Bombyx mori: one gene and its partners. The protein of the gene in region 1 purifies or fractionates together with the protein of each later gene. This does not show direct contact. Links are inferred from orthologs where the notes say so. Each region holds a gene or a part of one and is shown on either strand. Other genes may lie near its edges.

Region 1 (3,759 bases):
CTAGGCCATATTTTTTTTTTTATTGCTTAGATGGATGGACGACCTTACAACCCACCTGGTGTTAAATGGTTACTGGAGCCCGTAGACATCTACAACGTAAATGCGCCACCCACCTTGAGATATAAGTTCTAAGGTCTCAAGTATAGTTACAACGGCTGCCTCACTCTTCAAGCCCAAACGCATTACTGCTTCACGGCAGAAATAGGCAGGGTGGTGGTACCTACCCGCGCGGACTCACAAGAGGTCCTACCACCAGTAAAATACATATTATTATACATCTCCACGGCGCCGTGTAGTAGGCATTAAATGCTTAAATGCATAAAATGAACTTGCTTATCATCATTCTTATTAAGTGTGAATAATTAGACCATTAGAGACCTACAAACACCAATTTAGAAGTACCTTGTTCCAGACTTCAGTGTGGATAGTTAGATCATTAGAGTGCTACGAACATGAATTTTTAAAAATACCTTATTCCAGAGTCGTTCTTCTCCTCGGTAGCAGTGTCTTCTTGACTGCTGGCCATGGGTAGTGAGACGTCGCCGATGGGCTCTATCTTGATGCTGGGACAGCTCGGGTCCGCCTTGAGGACCTCGTCTAAGTTTTCAAGTTTCTCCTCCGTCATGTCTACTTCCATTTCATTCTGTGTATAACAAATTTCAAGGAATTTAGAGGATTGGATTTCCTTTGTCGAGATTCCGATCTTTTTTTCCCCTACCTATGCTGATAGCCTTGACAGGCTATTTCAGCTTCACCCTAACGTGTGTAGGTGAGCTCACGGGACTCAAACCGGAGTGTTGCTAACACTGACCCTAGCAAGAGCCGTGCTTCGCAGAATCTACCACCGGATCGGAAACGTGACCCACTGAGGAGATCCAGCGAGAAACTCAGTGGGCTGTGTCTATGGGTTAATTCGCTCGTCGAGCCCTTCGTCGCAAGCGATGGGTTCGACAAGAACGGTGACCGGATTCCGATCTGGTGAATCAACACAGCACTCATTTTGCTAAGGCAGATGTTACTGATATCTCGGCTAAGCTCCGTGAGCATACACATCCAGTGAAACTAGAATAGGCCTTCGAGTCTATTGCCAATAGGTAGGAAAGAAAAATGGTCCTTATTAAGACCATGAATATTCAACACCATAATACTTTTTTTAGACTGTCTTATTATAATGGACAGATAAAACGTTAACTCGCACGTTATACTGAAACAATTAAAATCAGCGGATGCAATTTTTTATTTCATTAACGCATGATTTAATTTCCACCGTAATTGAAAACTCAAAACGTTTGTTAATTTTATGTTAATTTGCAGTATTTTATTTATTTGATACCATCGACTTAAGAGCTACTAACAAAAAAATCAATTGACAGTGTATCGAGTTAAGGGCATTGTAACGAGACTGTACAGGTCATTACGGATCGTTCCGATCCACTATCGGTGTTTTTAGGTACCTCAAGCCCCAGTCATCGTTCTCGTCGAACCCGTCACTTGCGACCAAGGGCTCGGCGAGTAACTTAATCCACGGACACAGACAGCCCACTGAGTTTCTCGCCGGTTCTTCTCAGTGGGTCGCGTTTCCGATCCGATGGTAATTCTGCGAAGCACTGTTGCTAGGGCTAGTGTTAGCAACGTCATTAAGTTTGAGCTCCGTCAGCTCACCTAATTGTTAGGTTACGCTGATATAGCCACTCAAGGCAATCAGCTTTAAAAAAAGTAAAAAAAGAGACTGTACAGTTTGCACTTACATCGGCAGGCTTCAGTTTCCTGTGCGATGAGGCTCGTTTCTTGGGCCGCGAAGGCACGTGTTCACTAGAATTAGTTTCCGATTTGGACGATTTCTTTACTGGACGAGTCTGTTTACGTTGGTTCCTGTAGATTTTACCTGGAGAACGATAATCTGATTCTTAATTATAATGTTATTGCGGGTGGACATTTTGTATGAATAAGATGTATTGTAATTATTTGAGTAATTTCAAAAGTGTCGTGGTCTAATGCTGAGATGCTTGACTTATTTGTGCCGATGTTCTAATCTCGCAGGTAGGTAAAAATTATTGTGAGGAAATTTTCTATTTTACCTTTCTGAGAACGGACTGGACAAAGGGGTATAAACGACTGTCACCATATAGGAATAGCTTCTAAGTAGAACTTAATTACTAGTGTTAGGGTGTGCTTTAAGCTCGCAAAGGTCGTATGTTCCGGTTTGAGAGGTTATATTGCAAATCTGAACTCACGTGTCAAGGTTAATGGCGGCATTAGTACAACAAATCAAACAGTTCTTTCTAGAAGGATTTGAGAGGGAAAATAGTAGAATCTAATATACAAAAGCAAATATCAGTTGGAATAGGTCAGTGTGTGTGTGAAATATTCCCAAATTGATGATGAAAAATATTGGCTATCGATAATAACAGTTCCACTTACTCTGCTGTTTCCTCCATTGCTTTTTACCAACAAATGTATCTTCTGTGGTAATTGTCAGGAAGTTTCGGTCTCCTACTTGTAATGTACACGGCTCGAACACATTTAGCAATTTCAAGTTTTTCAGGTCGTCTCCTGGAAACAATGAATTGATTTTTAATTATAGAAAAAGCATTTGCACAGAGAGTGAGTCTGTCTGTCCAACGAGGTAACGTAGCCAGTATCTTGGGAACTGTGCCTCCTTCAAGCGCATGTCAAAAGCATTGTCACTTTTTTGGCATGATCTACGTGAAATATACATATATGTATTTTTAAATTTTAAATGGTCATTATTTTACCATCATACAACATACGGTAGGTCATTGTCGAAATTCTGAGAATTTCAAATTGGTCTCTTACTTTTGATATGCTTATTACACTGTAGTTAGAAATAAGCAAACTGACGCCACGAAGAAGACAATATAAAAACCGTTTGTAATTGTGTGACTATCGCTTTTTGTTGAAAATGAGCGAATTCTTAATTGAAAATGAAAATATTTGTGACTGTTTTTCCCTCCTACCTAATCGTTGGTAGCCTAAGGGGTTATTCCAACTACGCCCGGGCGGGGGTGACAATGGATGGATGTTAGTGATTTAAAATGTATTAAGTTAGAATATTTGAAATGTGATAAAAAACAAATGATGTCACATATATTGAAGATACATCCAACTCAGCTTTGTAGAATTTGAATGATATTTGTGTAATAAGTGCTTTTAGGTTTCCTATCGTCCACTTTGTAAGATATATCAGAACTGTTCTACAATGTATCAGCATGAGTTAAGTAACATCAATTCATATAATCAGACTCACCTTCCACGAAGAACTTCGGTTGTTGAGGAGCTCCAGTCTCTGTTGGATGAGTACAAAGGGCACGACACTGCCAGTGCACACTCACACTCTCCGTGACAACCGCTTCCACAGTAAACTGAAAAATACATATAAGGAACCATTTTTGTTTATTGGTATTTCAAAACTATTTGGGATGGATGTTGTTAGGACAGAACTTGTTTAGAACAGTTTTTTTTTATGTGTAGTATATTTCGTTACAGGAATTTGTCGTGTAGTTTTTATTTAGGCTATATAAGCTTTTTTAATATCATTGTGATTAAAATGATTTTCATGCCATCGTTTTGGTTTCAAATTATGTAATGATATAATATATCTCTAAATTAAAAACTATTTAAAAAAATATCATTATAATTTAAAAAAATGAAACTTTTTAATATAGAAAAATTTACTTACACAATAAAAAAATTTCAAACCTTATGATCATGCATCTTATGTTTTCTAGCAGCCTTCAT
Region 2 (4,298 bases), on another chromosome or scaffold:
TGGGTTTTAAAGCAGATGGAGTAGAACTAAATCCATTCCTTGTTTATTACTCACGAATATCAGCCTTATTGAATCAAAAATATTATGATACCAGGTTTTATCATTGTGATTTATGGAAATTCAACCTCAAACCTTACAATAATGTTGTAATATTTGGTGTGGAGCAAATGATGCACGATATAGAAAATAAAATTTTAGATGAAACGCAAGAGCGCACAGTAGTGGTCGCGTGTCGATTCCCATTACCAACAATGGTGCCTGTAGAAACTATTGGACATGGTGTAGACACTGTTTGGAAATATGAAGTAAAAATCAGTTAAGTTGCAACAAATTTATTTACTTAGATATACAAAATAATAAACAGTTTTTATTTTAGAATCGACCACTTCTTTTTCTTCCTGTGTATTTAGTGTCAGGTTTTGTAATTTTGCCCTGTTTCCTTCTTCGTTCTTTCTTCTCCAAAATCCAGTCTTTTGAGTTCTTTATAGGTTTTCCTCTTATCCCTTTTGTAGCTTCTCTTTTAGCATATTTAACTTGAAGACTGTCTGGTTCTTCAGTACCTGTAATACAAATTTTGATTTTATTATATAAAAAAGTGGGTTTCATCATTTTTATTAGCATCACACTATAGTATTATTTTAATGTGATATAATTTTATGATATATACAACATTACCTAAAGCCTGAGGTAAAGGACCAACGCCACCAGTCATTAAAACTAAAAAGAACTTCTTTGCTTTGGCAGAATTTGGATAGTCAATTACAACTCCTCCATAAAAGCCAGCTTTCATTGCCTGTGTCGTTAGGAGTTCTAATTGCTTCTCATTCTCAGGGTAAAATTGGAAGACAGCTCGAGCAGACCTTGACTGAAAAAAATAATAATTGAGTTTTTGTATTGAATAATAAATAATACCGTTTTCATAGTTAACTTACCAAACTTGAATATAAAGTGGTGAAGAATTTGTTTAGTCTTTTCACTGGATTATGAGTTTTCTTATCAGCATTAAATAACCATTGTATAGCTGATACGGATACTGCTCCATCAAAGCAACCTGCTCTAAACGGGACACCTTCACCCATATCAGCCAGAACTAAACCACCTTCAGTGTCTCTCTCTACAGCAACATCTACAACATAGACATATTATATATAGTGTAATTTAAGAACCAAAATACTTTTTTGGGCTTTAGGAAACAAGGATATATATCAAAAGGTGAAAGGCTATTCTGTTTATGTGACATTACAAATGCTATTTATTTGGTATTAGTATCTATATTTCAATATTTTTAGTTGAACATCAATTATGTTTACTACTTTCAAATAGCTGAAGAAGCTGTTTTATTATGATTAATTTTCCAAAACTTAAATTTAAAATGGTTCTTCTATAAAATTACAAAAATGTCACTTCAACCCAATAGCCTTTTGGGTTTTAATTTTGTCAGGTTATAATTTGTTCTCTTTCAGTTATTAACAATCTTTATAAGTAGTGAAAACTGAGAAAAAATACAACACCTAAGGTACAAGTCATGTGTCTTATTATGTCTCATTATGTGTCCAATTAAGTCTAGTATCGACTAGGCTACTTTCTGTGGCCAGATGACAAAAATATTTTTTACCAAGCATTGAAGATGATATGTCCATCCCAATCCACATATGTCCATTTTCTTCTAGCACTGTACCAGATAATCCTGAACCACATCCAATATCCAACAACAAGCAAGATGAATCTTCCGGTAATAGAAGTAATTCTAAGCATCTCTCAGTCATTTGTCCTTGGATTTCTATGATCCTGGAGCTAAAATAATCAAACACAATTTTTTCTCAAAAAGAGTTAATAAAAAAAGGAAAGACATTTTTGGAATTAGGAGGGAAGCATTCAGATTGTTCATAATCCAGATCTCACAAATAGTTAGGTTTTTCCTGGATTGTACAATAAACCCCATGCTCAAATGAATTTGGCAAATATTGTCCAACTAGTATCATTAACATTGTAGTACAAGACAATCATTCTTAGCATTTCTACATTTATCGCTTCCTACCTATTCTAGTAACCTTGAGGAGTTATTCCAGATTCACTGAATTAGTAGGTGAGCTCACCAGTCCCAAACTACGACGTTAACACTAGGGTTAGTGTTCGTGTAAGTGCTAGGGTTAGCAAGAGCAGTGCTTCGCAGAATCTACCACCGGATCACAAACGCAACCCACTGAGAAGATCTGGCAAGAAACTCAGTGGGCTATGTCTGTGGGTTAATTTTGTCGCCGAGCCCTTCGTCGTAAGCGACGGGTTCGTCGAGAAACAGGTACTTGTTTTTACTTGAAGTTTGAAAATATCTTTAGTTGCAGTTTAAATATAAAACATTACTGTAGTAAATAAGTAACAGGGGCCATTTAATTAACATTAGATGGGTTGATTGCCTGCAATAATGGTTTCTATTGTAAACTTTATACAGCACTTTACTATTTTAAAATGTAGTATTAAGCCCCCCGAATTCCCACACTAATGAAACTGTAGGACGTTAGACATGGGAAGGTTGTGGATTTTTGTGGTTGTGCTCATTCACCACTATCGCCCACTTACATTATATTTTGGGTTACAACAATTCAGAGACAATTCCATTTGTGCCACCATTAGCAAAAAGGTTAGTATTCGCAATACCTTGTTACTTTTACTTACGTACTTTTGTGTATACTTTCTAGCCTCTTCATCATTATAAAACTAGAACAAAAATAATTCGAATAACAATAGTGCCTTTTTGTTCAAATTTGAAACAATATATTTACATTAGCTTATACTCACAACTTCAGGCGGTGCCTGGTGTTCTGGTCTTTTTGACATCTTACATCAATATAAGGATCACTTTCAAATCAATCAAATTTAAATGAACCTAGTGTTTAGTAAGTATCTACATATGTATGTGCTCGTTAATAAAATGATTTTATGAACTAGGAAGTATGTAGCTTTTTAAAATAATAAGTGTAAAAACTACTTATCTACGGCTTGCTCCACAGACTTAAATATATTTAGTATTGAGTCATTTTACCACTTATAATATGTAGCATTTGACGTTGTCACTTGTCAGTTTTATCTTCATAGTGAGGTAGCCTGCTTAAAAACATCGTTTAATGTGAATAAATCGATACGAACTTGAAACATATTATAATGTGAATTTTTATAATCATCAGGCGAATCCCTGTTCCATTATTATTTTTTCTTTCGTAAATTTAAAGAGCAAAATAAGACAAATACATAATTTAACAAAAATATTACATTTATTCAGTTGAACTATCAGAACTGTTATTAGTATTGTCATCTTCATCACTGCTGTCAGCACTCCGAGATATTATTAATTAATTTTCAATAATATTGTCTATTCTCACATCTCGTTCAAAATCGTATAAAATTATTTTCTTTGTTTTCTCTACGACTTTTCTCCAGTCTTCTATAGTGACTTCTGCACACGCAATTTGTAGCAGTCATCATTTTAGCAGTACTGAAGGGTGGTTCAGTATTGTTCTGCACTGCATGAATATCAAGGTTACTGATATTCATTAATAAAATAACACATTTATTATTACATTTTTATTGTCATTATGGTTTTTAGACAAGGTAACATTTATATTAATATGACAATTTTTTAAATCTAATCAGGGAATTTTTATGCGTGGAATGAGCGCGCCGGCGCCGGCGCGCTCATTCCACGGTTCATCTCAAATATTAAGTGTATTATCTATGGTTCATCCGTTATTAAGCTGACCAAATAGAATAGTCTAATGGATTAGAATATACATACTTTTATGTAATCAAATAAAATAAAATGAACTATTATATATTTTGTCAACATAATAAGATTCATTTTTTTTTTTAAATAAAATATTGCTCTGTTACTTTTCAATGTAACGATTACCTGGCAAATTTTCCTATCATTACAATAAAAAAAATCATTTTATCATTTTGTGTGTTGTAAAATGGCTACTATAGACAGTAATTGTACGGTTTCCAGGTATGTAAGGTGATAGCTGCCCTTTATAAATAAAACAAATGAGGTCCAATTTTACTCCGTATATTGTCACAAGTGTTTGCGGCGTCACAAGTGTCGGGCCGTCTATGTACGACTGACTATAAGCGATGGACAACCGCATGCGCTACTCCTTACAGTATTAGTGATGGTGATGGCCCACCTACTCCAAAAAACCAAAGACTCAGGAAGGTGAAAATAAAAAAAAATATATAAACAGAAATTTCGTTCTGAATGGTTAACTAACAAGGACTTTTCATCTTGGTTAAGTGAGCACCCGACT
Region 3 (2,294 bases), on another chromosome or scaffold:
TGAATTTTGACAATTTAAAAAAAAAATTTTAATGTAGGTAGGTACACTTAAAACGAAAGAGAGAAAGAGAGAGAGAGAAATCCAATGTATTTTTAATTAACTGAATAACGCCAAAATGGCCACTACTGAAGTTTATAAATCATCGAAATTGTTCTCTTTGTAAGTATGTATATATTTATTATTTTAACAAACGTAATTCTGAAGACTGTTAAAGCACCATAAACGGCCATATTTAAAATCTACATTTACACACTAACGAGACATATATACCGGGGGAATTAATTTAATGTTCATAAGTTCTCACACGTGAGGTTCGTTTCACTGTTTATCCTCTTGCAACACTTCTATCTTCGTTACATCACCGAACGTCTCCACCTCATCTGTAATTTTTTACGCGAAATATAAATACGGGTGACTCGCCTATAACACGGTACCCATAGACACAGCCCACTGAGTTTCTCGCCGGATCTTCTCAGTGGGTCGCGTTTCCGATCCGGTGGTAGATTCTGCGAAGCACTGCTCTTTGCTAAGATCAGTGTTAGCAACTCTCCGGTTTGAGCCCCGCGAGCTCACCTACAAATGTTAGGGTGAAGCTGAAATAGCCTCTCAAGGCTATCAGGTAAGGCAGGGAAAAAAAAATTACACGGTAGATACGTTCCTACAAAGTTTCCTGTTTTGCGAAACCGTATTATGACACTAGAAGTCAGTACAAAAAGGACAGTAATTTAACAATGAAACATCTCAACTACGGGCTGTATGTCATGTATTATTTTACATATTATACATAAAAAATAAGCAGAAAAATTGCGGTTATTCCCATATAATATTGTGTGTTCATAGTGCGTAATGTAATTTTATAAATAATTTTAATCAATTAATTTATCATTAAAGTTGAAATTTAAACAAAAAAAATATATCGAGGGTTGCAAGACTATTATAACATATGTATATAAAGGTTTAAGCGACATTTCGAATTTCCATTATTAGCATCAAAAGACGATATTTTTAATCAAATTTCAATTAAGAAGAATTCGAACGCCATTGAAATAGCTGAAGTTTTTTTTTTTATTTTTTTTTTTTTAAGCCTTATTAGCTTCCTGTACAGTTGCAAAAATGTCGCTTCAACCAAATGACCTTTCACCCCTCGATATGTGTAATTGTTGTCAAATTGTGACAAGTGACAGTTTTACTGACGGTAGGCCTTGTGGGCCCGCACGGGTAGGTACCACCCTGCCTATTTCTACCGTGATACAGTAATGCAGTGGTCGTCGGAACTTATACCCTTGAGGCCGATATCTCAATCGACTGCGCCTTCGCAAGAAAATTTGAATATCGAAAAATTGGAAGAGAGAAAGAGAGAGAGTATTCTATATAGTACACAAAAAAAAAATTAAACAATGCGAAACATTAGATAAATAAAAAAGTACAATAGGCGGTCTTATCGCTAAGAGCGATCTCTTCCAGACAACCATCAGGTGGACCAAGTTGGTTTCTATCTTTTAATATTTATAATATTTTAGTACGAAAGGATTAAACATTGCAATTATATTGCAATTATATTGAATTATGTTGAATTTATGATTGATTTATATATTTAATTTATAAACTATTTTGGCAGAATAAATGTATTGGTTTTAGAAGTCAATTTATAAATAAATTAATTTATATAGATAGTAATTTATATTTTTGATTTATTAATAATTGTAGTTGGGATAATAATTTTAATTCTAGACGTTTTAATTGGGGTTGCTTTTTTAGGTTAAATTGTAAGTCTGTTCGTTCTAGAGTCTGTGGTCGGTGTCCGCACTCACGTGTGCCGAGCGGGGGGCGGGGGCGGCGCTCTCAGTCGTCGCGCTGCACGTGGCGGCGCTGCAGGGCGAGCGCGAGGTCGTGCTGCAGCGCGGCGGTGCGGCGCGCCACGTCCGCCGGGATCACTGACCTCAGCCCGCTCACTATATCTTTTGTTTTACCTACAAAACAAAATCATCACCTTCAGTGTCTTTTTTTATTTATTGCTTAGATGGGTGGACAAGCTCACAGCCCACCTGGTGTTAAGTGGTTACTGGATCCCATAGACATTTACAACGTAAATGCGCCACCCACCTTGAGATATAAGTTCTAAGGTCTCAGTATAGCTACAACGGCTGCCCCACTCTTCAAGCCGAAACGCATTACTGCTTCACGGCAGAAATAGGCGGGTGGTGCTACCTACCCGTGCGGACATACATGAGGTCCTACCACCAGTAATTACGCAAATTATATTTTTGCGGATTTGGTTTTTATTACACGATGTT
Region 4 (4,440 bases), on another chromosome or scaffold:
TAAGATTCAAAGCTACTTGGCATGTTATAATGTATAATACATCTTATGTCTGATTTATTAATTCCCATTCCAAAAGCAACAGTTGCAACAATGATCCTTAATGTTCCATCCATAAAGTTTTTTTGAATTTTTTTTCTCTGTGCTGCAGACATTCCAGCATGATACGCTTCAGCGATATAAGACATTCTTTTCCTTTTTTTATTTAGTTTTTCTGTAGAATATTTAACAGAAGTTTGCAAACATGATCTCAAGACTGCTGCAATTCTTTCACATTCATCTCTTCTTATGCAATATACTATAATAGAATTGAATGTAGTTATCTTTTCTGACATTATAAATGATATTAAGCCTTTGTCTCTATCTTTCTCAAATGAAACTGTTAAATATAGATTATCTGGCAATGTTGGATTAGTTATCACTCCTGATGTCCCATCAGGTATACTAATATGCTTTATGATGCTTTTTATGGTGGTTTGTGTCGCGGTTGCTGTCAGTCCAAGGATACATTTTACATTCAGTCTTTCTCTCAATACACGACAAATCATTAAATAACTTGGTCGGAAATTATGACTCCACTGAGAAACACAGTGAGCTTCATCTATACATGCAAATGCTATTTGAGGCAATGATCTAAAGAGACCAGTTAGTCCATTAGAATTATCACTAGATATTAAAGCTTCTGGAGATATCAAAAGAATACTTATTTCTCCATCCTTTAAACATTGTATAATTTTTTGACGTAGTGTTGGTGGTTGATTGGTATGCAAACAGCCAGCCTTTAAAAATTCAGGCATATTCAAAACCTGGTCCTCCATTAGAGAAACAAGTGGCGATATTACTAATGTAATGCATTTGTATTTCTTTCTATACATATAAGCAGGTAATTGATAACATAGTGACTTGCCACTGCCAGTGGACAAAATCAAAAGTGTGGACATGCCACATAGAATTCTCTTTATAGCCTTTTCTTGTCCTGGTCGAAATTGATTGTGCCCAAATTTTAATAAATCTTCTTGTAGCTCATTATCATTCACTTCATTGTAATTTGGATATAAAGGTTTAACAGTTCCACAATTTGGGTCTGCTTTGGTTTCTAGCATTTTTATGAAATTTTCAGGAATTTGGCTTGGAGTGTAAGCTATGTTTAGTTCCTCAGTCAAAGTTTTAGTTTTACTATTTTCTCCATAAGCTAATTTTTCCATGTCTTCCAATGTAAGCATTTCATTTTCATCATAGCTCTCTAAAGGTAGTAGACCTTCAGCTTTATGTATTGTGCAGTATCGTGCCATATGCCCAGCATTACCACATTTAAAACATTTTATTTTCCCAGCTTCTGGAAACTCCATGGAAGCATGTAAAGCTTTTTTGTCTTTCCATTGTTGTTTTTTATATTTTGAAAAGTTAAAACTTTTCTTCCCTCTGACAAAAACTTTTTTTTCAATATTAACTTTTACAAAATTATCATTTAGAGTCCCTAGTTTTATTTTAGTCTGCAAATTATCAAAGCCCTCTGAGTTGTTGTCATTTGATGTTTTGGGAGGTTTAACAGTTTTTAATATGTTAGATACTTCTGTGTGACGAGGTACTATGTCATTATCTAAGCTAAACATAACAAATTCAGTTATATCTGGAAGCTGCTGGTCATCATTTGTGGCATTACATTTGCTTGATAACACTTTTACTCTACTTTTATCATTTTTTGAAACTCCAGATCTTTTTCTTTTTCCACAATTATTTGTTTTAGAGAATGATGATTTTAATTTGGTTTCAAAGCTGTCCAAAACAATTACACCTTCATTGGCAGCAGGTTCAATTTCTTCAATTTTTCTTTTCTTAAGGGCTGGCTTTAGTTTATCAAGTGTATTCTCATCTTCAGAATCACTATTTTCTACAAAATCTAAATATTTATCATTACTTTGGGTTACTGTGTTTAAATTTCTGATGCCAAACTGTTCAGATGTAGTTGCTTTACAGAAGGTGCCTGTTACTGAACTTGGACCAACTGCTCGCTCTATCCATGCTTGATCAAGTTGCCTGGTGTTTTGAAGAATGTTATTTTGATTAGCCAGCAAATGTGTCTCTAAAGGATTGGTTTTAGTAACTTGGGTGATGCTTTCACTAGTTGTGTAGTTGTGTGTGATTTTTTTTATGTGTTTAGTTCCATCAACAATATTTTTATCACCATCATTTTTTATGATAATAGTAGTATTCTTTACTTCATTTTCCAAAAAATCTTCATTTACTTGTGTAATTGAATCATGTTCAACAATTTTGCCACCGATATTTTTTAAGTTGGTATCAGCTTGTTTAATTTGATTTTTTTTAACTGAAACTATTTTTCTAGGATTCCTGAGAGTAAATTCTCTGTTAACAAACAGCTTTTTGGATAAATTTTCAAGGCAAGGCAGAGATTGATTGCGTTGTGTTTCAATGTTTAAGGAAAGTGGAACGTTTGATAGTAATTTTTCTATTTCAGCACCATTAGGTAATTCTGGAATTTTGGCATCCGACGGCGAACTAGTATCCTGAATTGAGTATTCAACTTTCTCATCGAATGGTTCAATGAATGAAGAAAACTCATCATCTATTTCACAAACAGTCAATGAATTTTCCAAAGCTGAACTTTTTAATTGAAAATACTTTTTATATGCATACTTTATATTAGGTGGAGCTTCTTTTATGTCGAATTTTGATGGTGTCCGGGAATGCAAACTTATGAAAGATTTTTCCCACTTCTTTACAGTTAACTTACATTTGAGGTAAGCTTTATCTTTTTTAATACTTTCAATTACGTTCATCGTTACGGTACAACACTGATTGACTACTTGGTGACTACGTTTTTTTCATCTTCAATCTTCAAGAATCTTCAACCATTGAAATTACAAAATATTACAATTATTAAATACACTCGTTTGACCAATGATGTTATAGTAAAGAGTCTTTTTACTATAACATCATTGCGTTTGACAGTTTACCGCGGATTTCTATTTTTTTTTAATTTAATGGCGTAGTAACAAGACCTTTGAGTCAAATCTCATTAATTTAATCTGTTTTTGAAAAATTATATGAAGCAAACAATGGTAGTTTTCCAATTACAGAGCATAATGCGACTCAGTGATGCACAATGCCGAATTATGCTAAAGCTTAATTGGAACGTGAATGAGTTTTCAAATGCATCAGCAGAGTGCGCTAAGTTAGCACAGTTTTAATTAACATTGATTATTTCTAAGATACTACGACGAAACGAAAGCCTTACAATTTTTTTCAACATTAAATAATATTACTAACGATAACATAAACAAAATTTCGATCAATGCCAACTTAAAGAAAAAACACTTGTCCATTTTCTGTCACTGAGTCGGTAACGATTGCGAGTATCACGCGAGAGCAGTACTTTTGAGAGTGCTCGATTGTGCGAAGCGTTGCTGTAGTTGGAACATTCAACGTTGAGCATTATGCCGCATAATGCGCTCTAGTGCTGTAATTGGAAAACTACCAATGACATTAACTTGATTTAACTTGAGACTCTAATCAATTCAGTGAATCAATTGAAATGAAATTAAATGAAACGAAATGAGATGAGATGAGATGGGATGGAATATTCTCAATAAAATGGTGGTTATTTATTAAGTCCTTTTCAATAACTTTTTAAATGAATCTTGTTGTATTTTGTTTCCTTTTCCCACATTTGTGCAGTTTCACAGATATTCTTTTTTTTTCCTACCTATGCTGATAGCCTTAGGAGGCTATTTCAGCTTCACCCTGACATGTGTGGATGAGCTCACGGGGCTCAAACCGGAGTGTTGCTAACACTGACCCTAGCAAGAGCAGTGCTTGGCAGAATCTACCAGCGGATCGAAAACGTGACCCACTGAGAAGATCTGGCGAGAAACTCAGCGGGCTGTGTCCATGGGTTAATTTGCTCATCAAGTCCTTCGTCGCAAGCGATGGGTTCGACGAGGACGGTGACCGGTTCGCAGATGCTAACCACTTTCTAATAACAAAAAACGTCAAACGTTACAAGTTACATTTAAACAAAACCATTCTCACGCCGCGCCGCAGGTGTCGGCGGAAGGTCAGCACCGCAGTACGGTACCGATAGAGGTGCTACTTTTGGGCATTGCTGAGCCGGGAGCCAGTAAACTTTTCGAAGCCCCGTTTATTTTTTGTTTTTCGATATATATATTTTTTTATGGTTGGAATAGATGTTTATGATTTCCTATTAATTACTGACTCAGCTAAATATACTGGCAAAGAGCATGTAAGTGAATCGCCTGAGTTTTCACACATAAGAACCATTACACCTAAAATACAATAAAATTCTAATAAGTATTGTCATCTTTATTTTTACACAATTAGATATTGAATTTTTTTAATTATTTATTTTATACAAACAAATGGAATTACTGCGAAACAATTCGTGAAATATAGCTTAATATT

The links.
Region 2: the proteins of (E3-independent) E2 ubiquitin-conjugating enzyme (region 1) and putative methyltransferase WBSCR22-like protein purify together in Homo sapiens (affinity purification with mass spectrometry; 5 studies listed by BioGRID and IntAct, counting the BioPlex papers as one, with this or other methods). This does not show direct contact. The link is inferred for Bombyx mori from reciprocal best matches to the Homo sapiens genes UBE2O and BUD23.
Region 3: the proteins of (E3-independent) E2 ubiquitin-conjugating enzyme (region 1) and F-actin capping protein beta subunit purify together in Homo sapiens (affinity purification with mass spectrometry; 3 studies listed by BioGRID and IntAct, with this or other methods). This does not show direct contact. The link is inferred for Bombyx mori from reciprocal best matches to the Homo sapiens genes UBE2O and CAPZB.
Region 4: the proteins of (E3-independent) E2 ubiquitin-conjugating enzyme (region 1) and ATP-dependent DNA helicase Q4 purify together in Homo sapiens (affinity purification with mass spectrometry; 3 studies listed by BioGRID, with this or other methods). This does not show direct contact. The link is inferred for Bombyx mori from reciprocal best matches to the Homo sapiens genes UBE2O and RECQL4.

What each region holds. Positions count from the first base shown.
Region 1 is NC_085123.1:4,186,401-4,190,159, reverse strand, and holds part of (E3-independent) E2 ubiquitin-conjugating enzyme, read right to left. Parts: coding exon 3,721-3,759; intron 3,384-3,720; coding exon 3,269-3,383; intron 2,554-3,268; coding exon 2,422-2,553; intron 1,901-2,421; coding exon 1,749-1,900; intron 644-1,748; coding exon 471-643; intron 1-470. UniProt on the Homo sapiens protein: E2/E3 hybrid ubiquitin-protein ligase that displays both E2 and E3 ligase activities and mediates monoubiquitination of target proteins. Negatively regulates TRAF6-mediated NF-kappa-B activation independently of its E2 activity.
Region 2 is NC_085122.1:5,821,039-5,825,336, forward strand, and holds putative methyltransferase WBSCR22-like protein, read right to left. Parts: upstream 3,055-4,298; 5' UTR 2,836-3,054; coding exon of another isoform or gene 2,797-2,835; intron 2,716-2,796; coding exon of another isoform or gene 2,709-2,715; coding exon 2,674-2,708; intron 1,795-2,673; coding exon 1,616-1,794; intron 1,127-1,615; coding exon 933-1,126; intron 866-932; coding exon 676-865; intron 561-675; coding exon 373-560; 3' UTR 321-372; downstream 1-320. Other genes in the region: ATP synthase subunit C lysine N-methyltransferase, read left to right, coding at 1-320.
Region 3 is NC_085109.1:2,870,741-2,873,034, reverse strand, and holds the end of F-actin capping protein beta subunit, read right to left. Parts: intron 1,972-2,294; exon of another isoform or gene 1,971-1,971; coding exon 1,843-1,970; 3' UTR 747-1,842; downstream 1-746. UniProt on the Homo sapiens protein: F-actin-capping proteins bind in a Ca(2+)-independent manner to the fast growing ends of actin filaments (barbed end) thereby blocking the exchange of subunits at these ends.
Region 4 is NC_085117.1:12,272,007-12,276,446, forward strand, and holds the start of ATP-dependent DNA helicase Q4, read right to left. Parts: upstream 2,984-4,440; 5' UTR 2,799-2,983; coding exon 1-2,798. UniProt on the Homo sapiens protein: An ATP-dependent DNA helicase which unwinds dsDNA with a 3'-overhang in a 3'-5' direction. Does not unwind more than 18 bp of dsDNA. May modulate chromosome segregation. The N-terminal domain (residues 1-54) binds DNA Y-shaped DNA better than ss- or dsDNA.